Saccharomyces cerevisiae S288C: one gene and its partner. The protein of the gene in region 1 interacts with the protein of each later gene in a pairwise test. Each region holds a gene or a part of one and is shown on either strand. Other genes may lie near its edges.

What was found. Proteins that work in one complex are often made in the same cells at the same time.
Region 2: the proteins of HXT15 (region 1) and MPH3 interact in a protein complementation assay, tested with the Saccharomyces cerevisiae proteins (one large-scale study listed by BioGRID).

Annotation. Positions count from the first base shown.
Region 1 is NC_001136.10:10,102-15,732, forward strand, and holds HXT15 (hexose transporter HXT15), read right to left. Parts: upstream 3,260-5,631; coding exon 1,556-3,259; downstream 1-1,555. UniProt on the Saccharomyces cerevisiae protein: Probable glucose transporter.
Region 2 is NC_001142.9:737,457-742,396, reverse strand, and holds MPH3 (alpha-glucoside permease), read left to right. Parts: upstream 1-2,580; coding exon 2,581-4,389; downstream 4,390-4,940. UniProt on the Saccharomyces cerevisiae protein: High-affinity uptake of maltose and maltotriose. Also transports alpha-methylglucoside, glucose and turanose but not melezitose or trehalose.

The sequences.
Region 1 (5,631 bases):
TTCACCCCAACCAAGCCCGATGGTTCCTGAAGCTAGGCGTAACTTTCCAACTTCAACATAGATTTTGCCACTCGGCAGTAGCTGTCCGCGAAAACTTTATTTTCTGCACCTATATGTGCCTAAAACTTACTCTCCTGCAGGGAGCTCGAGAAAATAAGGGATTGTGGGGTAATCTTTAGTGGGGGTATCTCCTGTGCCTTCCCCCGTAATTTGTTTGCCTTCATGCCTGCCTCTCCTTGTCTCAGGTCACACCATTCACGATTCCTTCATGCCTGCTACCGATTTAGTAGTAAGAAAAGCCGTGGCAAACAGTCAGGTTTACACCAGCTTTTTTCCTTGGAATTGTTAGCCCGCCTTTTGGTCGTAATGCACACCACAATAATACGTCATTAGTCAAAGTTTTCACAAAAAATTGATAAACTAAGCTTTCGTACTAATTGTAGAGATGTTGATTCGACAGATGAACGGTTCTATAGTTTCAGTGGACGTAGCGCTTTGATATTAAAAAATTATGTACAATATCATGTTAATTAGTTGAAAAATCATAATGTCAATTATCGCAAAATGAAAAGAAGAATTGGTACTCATCCAGAGTTTCAATTTAGCAAATAAAGTAATAGACAATTCATCAAGCTTTGAACTTTGTCGTAAGACCTTTCAAAAAGGAAATAAGTAAAAAGATAAAGAAACTCAATAGACTTGGAAAAAGGATAGAAATGGACATATGCCGACTTAAATGCTAAAACCCTCGACTGTTTTGAACCCATTGTTTCAATACCGTGTCTTTAACGGTTACTACCACAGTTAGGTCACAAATCTTTTAGTGGCAGATGCTCCTTGAACTACTAATGACCCAGGTCACCCAGAGAGGTCAGAGACTTTGTACGGGTACCTATATGAGGTCTTTTTACTGTATTACAAAAAAAATCTTACTCCATTCGCTATTATGTTGTGTGGAAACATGCCTCAAAATGTTTTCACCGCAAAAAGTATGCTTGTTGTATTTGCCAAGTTAACGAAGCATGAGAAAGTTTGCCCCCCCGAGTTGAAACAAAGTTATCTCTTCTAATATGATGGTTGTTTGTGCGGCCACGCTAATAACGAGCTCAAATATTCCCTTTATAGTAACAACTGAATATTTGGGAAGAATCTATATTTCTATATTATTGTATACACTTTATTTAGAGGAATGGTACAGTGTTACGTTCCTGGAAATGCATTTTTAAGGATCTTCCATAAGCACTCAAGTGGACCTATGTTGACTTCCCCATCTTCATCACCACTCCGTTTTCACTCCATAAGCATCCTACTTTTTATACTCTGCTTTGCCTTAAAGAAACAGAACTTCGTACAATGTTGCCTTAACCAAACGCTTTCTTTCACTAAATAACTCGTTATTTTATATAGTACTAGTAGTCCGAAAAAGGGAGTTTGCAAAGAAACTCGTAGTTTTTTGTTGATTAAATTTGAAATTACGTGTCACTTCGTTTTACAGTAGGCCCTATTTTTTTTCAAGAATTTATCTCTTAGCATGTTTATCAAGCGCGCATATTGATCAATTAAAACTCTTTGGGAACTTCAAAACTTCTTTCCAGCTTTTCTTCTTAGCCTCAGTTTCCCTGGAAGAAGCTCCTCTCCTTGAGGGTGGTACCCAAGATGCAGATTTCCATGGTTTTATACCTTCTTCATATAGTAACTGGATTTCCTCCAAAGATAGACCAATTGTTTCTGGTAAAAAGAAGAAAACGTACAAAAACATAGCAACCAAACAACCTACGAACACATAACCATAATAGAAGTGGATAGACCCAGTAATGAATGGTGTGAAAAAACCAATCAAGAATTGCCATAACCAGTTGAATGCAGTCGAAATTGACATTGCTTTAGATTTGACCTTCGAAGGGAATGACTCGGCAACCACAATATAAGCAACAGGGGCCCATGTCGTTGCAAAGCAGAATATATAGAAGCATGTGAACACAATCATGGCATTACCTGCACCTTTCGAGGATGGACCATCCTGGCCATGAGGGTAAAGACATTTTACCCCGATACTTGCAAATATGACCATACAAGCCATCATTGAAGCCGCTCCGAATAACAGACATTTACGACGGCCTATTTTGTCTACGACCATAACAGCAATAATAGTGGAGAAGAAATTCACTGTACCTAGGACGATCGAAGTCTCAAACCCATCAGTAAGCCCAACTGATTTGAAAATGGTAGTTCCGTAGAAGAAGAAGTAGTTTTCACCAGTAAGTTGCAAAAAGGTTTGCACAAGAATACCTGTGATCAAACGTTGAAGGACTTTTGTTTTGACGGAGAAAAGTTCTTTCCATGAGGCTTCCCCTAGTTCTCTTTGGGCAAGGACACCGGCGTTGATTTCATCAGCCTGTTTGAGTACCCATGGATCCTCTGGTGAAACCTTGTTGATCTTGGCGATGGAGACACAGGCCTCTTCATGTCTCTCACATTCAATCAGATATCTTGGGGACTCTGGAACTAATAACATGCCAACGATGATAATTAGAGCCCACAGAAAGCATAGTCCCACAGGAATCCTCCATTGCGCAGTATTACTATACTTCCTTGTTCCATAAACGCTACAATAACCCAAGAAAATACCGAAGGTCATGTTAAGTTGGTACAATGAGACAAGTCCACCTCTCAAATCTGTGGGGGCTATTTCAGATAAAAGCATTGGACACAACACCGAACAGCCACCAGCACCAAGACCGTAGATGATCTTACCGACAAAGTATTGGTACCATTTGTGATTCGAACTGATCTGAATAATTGCACCAACCATATATACCAAAACCACGATTACAATTGCTAGCCTTCTACCTAAAGTATCAGCAAGTCTCGCAAAAGCAACACCGCCAATGGAACATCCTACACTGAACATGGCCACGAGAAGACCCATACGCACGTTGCTCAAATAATACTCACCAGTACTGTGCTTGTAAGAACCAAAATTCATTTTAAAGTTATCCATATTGATGAAGCCTGCAGTAATACCACTATCCCAACCAGGTAAAAAACCGCCAAAGGATACAGGATAGCATAGTAAGTAGATAATAAGGTAACCTAAAAAGCCTCTCTTCGGTGCGTCTGGCGTATTTCCATTAATGACTTCTTTGTCATAAAACCCGTCTGACCATTCTTTCTCTCCGGGTGGCTGTACATGAACGTCAGCTGCACTACTGTTTAGATTATCTGCATTAATTTCTGGTGAGGACTGTTCGCTTGCCATTTTTTTCCTTTAGTTTCCTTTCCTCCTTTTCTGTCAATAATATCAATAGTTTTACTTCTATGGATAGTAATAAGACTAAACCTGAAGCAAACAATGAATTACTTACTTTCTTTATACGTTTGAAAGTTGGTGATTACAGGCCAACACTGGAGTTATCATACTTGAGTTATATAACCATGTTTAACTTTTTTGCAGAGCATTCGGAAAATCAAACCTTTAGCTGATTGCACTTATGATATTGAAAGGTTCAAGATGCGCAGTACAAGTCCTCGTTTGTTTACATCATCTACCTTGCCTGACTTCTTTGCTAAATTGTGCCTCTGCGCAGTGCACGTTCAAAAGAAAAGCATACCCCGCACTCTACTGTTTTTGCATTTTAGCTTTTAAGTTTTAAGTTACTACCACTGTAGCGCACAAAGCTAAAAATAATTTTGCCTGCAGCAGGCTAGCTGCATATTCATAGGCACATCATGAATTTACTGTAATACGAGACGGAGTTAAGCAAAACGGAGTTAACACAGGCGGAGACATGAAACAAGTTCAACTTCAGTAATAGTAATTGTCACGCAATATCTTGTGGAAATTTGCGTACAAGATTTTTTAAGCGCCAAAGGAGCCAAATACGGAAATAATTACCTAGTCCTTACCAAAGAAATAAAGAAAAAGAAAAAGAAAAACTGCAAACGTATAAGATATTTGGTACATTTTAAGAAGGGGATATTCACTTTAATGATCATATCGCTGATTTAGTAACCCAGATCAAGGACAAAGTTACTATTGTCGTCTTTTAAGGTGGAATCTGTGGTTAGGATCTTTACGAGTACCTAGATGATGTCATCTTTATGCCTAAGAGGTCTAGTGTCATAATTTGTTCAACGTTGCTTTTACCTCTGGCAATACTCCACAATATTTCAGGATTTGCTGCCAAAGTCCATTTTGTGCAAGAGAATGTTTATTACTGTTTTGATCGATTATGTTATCGAGGATTCTGAAAAAATGGTTTATGTCATCCGTCTGAGAAATTATGACGGAAGAATGTAAGCTGCCGGTTACAGGTAAGCAAAATATTTGCAAAGGAATTTTGAGAATTTATGGCTCGACGGCGAGATTTGAACTGTAAACGGATATGGTGAAATGAAGTAAGGGCATAATATTATCCAGCAGCTGTTCTCCCATATAGTGCGCCAAAATTGTAAACATTTTTTATATATTACGCTTTCTCCATGTGCAGGTCAATTTTATTCTTCTTTTCGTTGAAGTGATGTTACCTCATACAATGATTCAACTATAGCACCGTTTCATGCTAAGTTATTTGCACATTCTCCTTACCACAATTCCGTACAATTTAAAAATTTGAATAAAGCAGTATTGCAACAAGGCGTTACAGTCTTTGTTACCCTAAGCATGTCTCAAGAATCTATTCATGTGTGTTCATGGCTCTTCTTAAGATAATATTTCATACCTGGGGTGGCCGTTTCATATTTCTGTTTCTCTAACTTTATACCAGGAGAATTCCTTGTCTAATTTGCTACAAGTACCTTTTCAATATAAATAATTTTCAGTTAATTAACAGAGTAGGAAGAGGAAGGAACAAAAACTATCGCTTATCTTCTTGCATAGGGGTAGTGGAGTAAAGATACAAGTATTCGAGAAATAGATATACATTAAAATAGCATTACTATCCCGGGAATCTTGTTGCCATAAGGTGCTTTTATGATATCAAACCAGGGGGGAGAATATTTGGGAAGTAATTGGGAAGTAATTGTATGTATTTCTAAAATTTTTGGATACTCAACTTTTAAATTCAAAATAGTTATATTTGTTATCGAAATGTAGTAGAAATATTCTAAGTAACCAATTTCAAAACTGCATCTATCTTTGGATAAACTGGTGTGATAAGATATACATTGAATGCTGATGTCCATCACACATATGTTTACACTGGCGTCGCTCTGTACCTATTTCAGAATAGATTAATGACAAAGTAAAAGTTCAATAGGCGGGCGGAAAAAATTAGAGATTCATTGAATCTCTAATTTATTTAAAGTTTATAAGTCGTTACATATTTTTCTATGGTAAGTTCCTGGATGTTCTGGTACATCGAGCGTATTTAATATGTCCATTTGGCATGTCCTTTATATGCCCATCTTGTATAAGGTAGTTTTAAATTCTAAGTTATTCAATACTACTGACTAATCATTGTTAATAGCAATTTCGCAGTCATGTTGGGCTCAAAATACTATAGTCATTTTTGTGATTTTTTTTTTTTATTATTTTGATTGAAGAAGGAACAATTCGAAATATGGAGAAAACGTAAAAAATGTTAGAGTTATAATCGAAATTATCCTAGTTCAGATACTGAAACTTAGGCA
Region 2 (4,940 bases), on another chromosome or scaffold:
AAGAAGAACGCATATTGGTAAACCTCCAACCTACTAGTAATTAAAAAGCTTTAGTTTAACCCGTAGTTCGGGATACACTTCGGGCATAACGTACGTTTATTATAAATTTTTATATCTCTTGCGTACCATGTATATTCCAGAACAGTGAATACACTTTTCTAATTCATTTATGCTACTTTCATATCCTCCATTAAAGCGGGAGCTACCGTTGAAAAGGCATAATAATTGAAGTTTCGAGTGGGTTAGTTACACTAGGTGAAGGATCGTTTGCCTCCATATGGTCAAGCCATTCACGGACATTGATAATAGCTGGGACAATTCTGGTTTCATAAAAGGTTTCATTCATCCAGATTACAGATGCATTCAAATAATAGTCGCCAAATACTGATACCTCATCAAAATGAAAATATGTTTCTAACGGAACTGTATTAGACCATGCGCTCAGTTAGCTGGAGTCGCGTTGGTTAACAAATTAACTAAATTCACCATTACTTTACTTAAAGACCTATCACCACAAAGGAAATGGCGATTCTACAACAGGACCAGCTTCACTGTTTTTACCGTTGATTTAAAGATCACCTTTTGACTATTTTATATGCCAATTCAGAAACCGTTATAATAGAAGTTTTCTACTACAAAATTTACAGGATGTTGTAGCTTGATTGCATAATATTTTTTTAAAACGGATAACCACCAACCCTCGTCAGTGACTTCCCATTATGAAAATTTTCTCTTCTAATCCTTTTTGGTACCCTTTTTCCTATCATGCGCCTCGAAACAACTTCCATAGTACGTGCCTGCTACTGTGAGTAGTTTACTGCCGCAGTCAAACACTATACTGATTCAGCATCCATCAGTAAGTGCGCGCTAAAACGACAACTTTTTCGTACCTTTACAAGTAAGGAGTGGTTAAGGTGTATAGCTCATACTAGATATTAAACTTCGGAGAAAAGTCCCTGTTTCAATGACAAATATGAGTTGCACAATAGAATTTTTATATCTATGATTACGCTTGGTAGGATGAAACTCTTAAATTCCGTTATAAGTTTTATAAATCGCCGTAATTGCAAAAATACAGGGTGATGCGTATAAGTCTCATAAAAATCAAATCATTCCCTCTATTGCAACCATATCAAATTTTGATGATGATTATTTTACAATTTTCATTGCCATGGATGAAAATAAACGCTGATATCTTTATAATTAACCCGGAATGGAAATTGTGCACAGTACATCAATGGCGTTTCGAGTATTAAGACCTGTGATTTAGAGCCAATTAGCCAAGTAAAGCGACATTTCCTTTCTATGTTTGGCATCTTTTTTTTTTGGCCTTAAAACAGTGTTTCTATAAAATTAAGGGCCAACTCTTACAATAGTAATGAGATTAATAAGGCCCAAAGAATATTTTGGCCATTTCTTTTTCGTACAACCATATAGTTTTCTCAAGTAGCGACGAAAGAGAGATAACTGAAACAAAATGTCATGGAAGAAGTGCTTATATTAAAAAATCTATGTCGGAAATATTTCTATAGGGAAAAGTATACTAAAATCTTACTCGAGCTTTGAAATGAACAAGCCTAAACCGCCCAATTCCAAGATCTTTAATATACTATAACTTGAAAGTCATACCTGTTATATCACTCCAGAGGTTATTGTGGGAGCATATTTAATGCTTTGTGGGTAAGCTTGATAAACTGTAGTTCTACCACTTTTCCCAGGATACTGATTATGGTAAAAGTTCTTATTTGTCTTACGACTTAGATTTAGCACTCACATTTGTCATCATATGTTGAAAAATCAAGCTGGAATTTATTGGTGGATCTTTCATCTCCATTTATACTTTTTACTTGTTTTTCTCCAAGCAAAAAGATTTCACGTTGTTCGGGAGGTAAATATGAAGTAGGAGAGCAGTCAGGTAGAGTGGTTATCCCATCAGCCAGAACCTGTCCGTAAACAGGTTGTGGACTACAGTATGTGTGTTTTTTTCTTTCTAATTACTCAATTTGGATATTTTGGTGACTATAAAGACCTCTCGTAAATTTCTGAAAATATGCTTCGGTTCGAATCTGTGGTCTGCAGTGCAGCGTGTTGGTATTTTACCGACAGTTTTAGCGAAATATGTATAGATCTGTCACGCTTGCAACATCGCGACAGGTCGATATACTAAAATTACAGCATGAATTTCTGATCTATAATCACACTGTTGCAGTTTCCAGAGAGTCAATCATATTAAGTCCTCAGTTTGAATCAATGTTGGCTTTGTTCTTCTGGAGAGGAATCAGCTCGTTATATGTTTGTCTTTTTCTCTGCTCGAGAGTCATCGCGACATTCCACACCCCGCGTTTTACGTGCACAGAATCTTTCGTAGAAGGGAGCATTTGACATCCTGTCAGCCATATGCAATGAGTATGCCACAAGTTCATGATAGTGTTGACTATAGAATATAAAAAAAAGGTGGGGTCATCTGTAATCGTTGTTTGTAATTCTTAGAGGCCTGTTCTTGGAATTATTATGCAAAGATTACCATCACAAAATCTAACACAAATAGAGATACAGGTCTTGTAAAGCCATTACCTAGCTATGAAAAACTTATCTTTTCTCATAAACAGAAGAAAGGAAAATACAAGTGACTCGAATGTATACCCAGGAAAGGCTAAGTCGCATGAACCCAGCTGGATAGAAATGGATGATCAAACTAAGAAGGACGGCTTAGATATTGTTCATGTTGAGTTCAGTCCGGATACAAGAGCGCCAAGCGATAGCAATAAAGTAATAACAGAGATATTTGACGCTACTGAGGATGCCAAGGAGGCAGACGAAAGTGAAAGAGGAATGCCACTTGCGACAGCATTGAATACATATCCCAAGGCAGCAGCTTGGTCACTATTGGTCTCTACAACTTTAATCATGGAAGGGTACGACACAGCTATTCTTGGAGCTTTCTACGCCTTGCCTATTTTTCAGAGAAAGTTTGGCTCACAAAATGACAAAACTGGAGAATGGGAAATTTCAGCGTCATGGCAAATCGGGCTGACCTTATGTTATATGGCAGGTGAAATTGTGGGGCTACAGCTAACGGGGCCCTCCGTGGATCTTGTTGGAAATCGTTACACATTGATTATTGCATTGTTTTTTTTAGCTGCCTTCACTTTTATACTGTACTTTTGCAATAGTTTAGGCATGATTGCTGTGGGACAAGCATTGTGCGGGATGCCATGGGGTTGTTTTCAGTGTTTGACGGTGTCTTACGCTTCTGAAATATGCCCATTGGCTCTGAGATATTACCTTACAACCTATTCAAACTTGTGCTGGTTATTTGGACAACTTTTTGCAGCTGGAATCATGAAAAATTCTCAAAAAAAATATGCGGATTCAGAATTAGGATATAAACTACCATTTGCCCTACAGTGGATTTTGCCAGTTCCTTTAGCACTGGGAATTTTTTTTGCACCTGAATCTCCATGGTGGCTAGTTAAAAAAGGAAGGTTTGATGAGGCAAGGAGATCACTTAGAAGAACTTTAAGCGGCAAGGGACCTGAAAAAGAAATACTAGTAACTCTGGAGGTGGACAAAATAAAAGTGACTATAGATAAGGAAAAGAGACTCACAAGTAAAGAAGGCTCCTATAGTGATTGTTTTGAAGACAAGATTAATCGAAGAAGAACGAGAATTACTTGTCTCTGCTGGGCTGGTCAAGCCACTTGTGGTTCAATACTAATAGGTTATTCAACTTACTTTTACGAAAAGGCTGGCGTTAGTACTGAAATGTCCTTCACTTTTAGTATTATTCAATACTGTCTCGGTATTTGTGCTACATTTCTATCTTGGTGGGCGTCAAAGTATTTTGGTAGATATGACCTTTACGCTTTTGGACTAGCCTTCCAAACCATTGTTTTTTTCATTATTGGCGGTTTGGGGTGCTCAAGTACGCACGGTTCCAAAATGGGAAGTGGTTCTCTTTTAATGGCTGTAGCATTTTTTTACAATTTAGGAATTGCCCCGGTCGTTTTTTGCCTAGTCTCTGAAATGCCATCTTCAAGACTAAGAACGAAAACAATCATTCTAGCACGTAACACTTATAATGTGGTCAGTATCATATGTAGCGTTCTCATCTTATACCAACTGAACTCTAAGAAGTGGAACTGGGGCGCTAAGTCAGGCTTTTTCTGGGGTGTCTTATGCTTTTGTACTTTAATCTGGGCTGTGGTTGACCTACCAGAAACTGCCGGAAAGACTTTCGTGGAAATAAATGAGTTATTTAAACTTGGAGTTTCTGCAAGAAAGTTCAAATCGACGAAAGTAGATCCGTTTGTTGTCAAAACCCCCCCTAAAGACGTCTCTCATAACGACCCCAAGGGAGATATCGAAGCTTCCATTGCAGAGGAATAGCAATGTATCCCATCACTTATGAGCTAATGAACATTTATCGACACAGGTAAATAGGTAACTATGGTATTTACTCTACATGTTACGGAGTATAATACACGTAGATTTGTTTCTTCCTCATATTCCCATGACATGTCTCAGTAATTGAACTCAAAGTAACATTTAGCTTTCTTCTTGATCATTGCGTTTGGAAATGTATAGTTAGAGAAAAGATTCTTTCTCATCCGAGTATGGCGCGTGAAGAAAATGAAGATGGAGTTGTCGAAACAAATGGTCATCGACATTAGTTTAATTGTCATAGTAACAGTCTGGGCACTCACTTCGTACATCCCTTATACATTTAAGTGCAATTTTACCTATTCTAAAAATAGAAAAAATCTCGAATGAGCAGTTCTGGCAGTACTGAAACTGAGTTAAAAATCTATCAACTGGAAGTAATGCGGTAGTTTTATATATGAGCAATATATGCCGTCAAATTATATGTACAGTAGCTACCAGAGCGGTTATTATATTGTTCTTAATCAATAATAAACAAATCAGAGTATATTTCATAA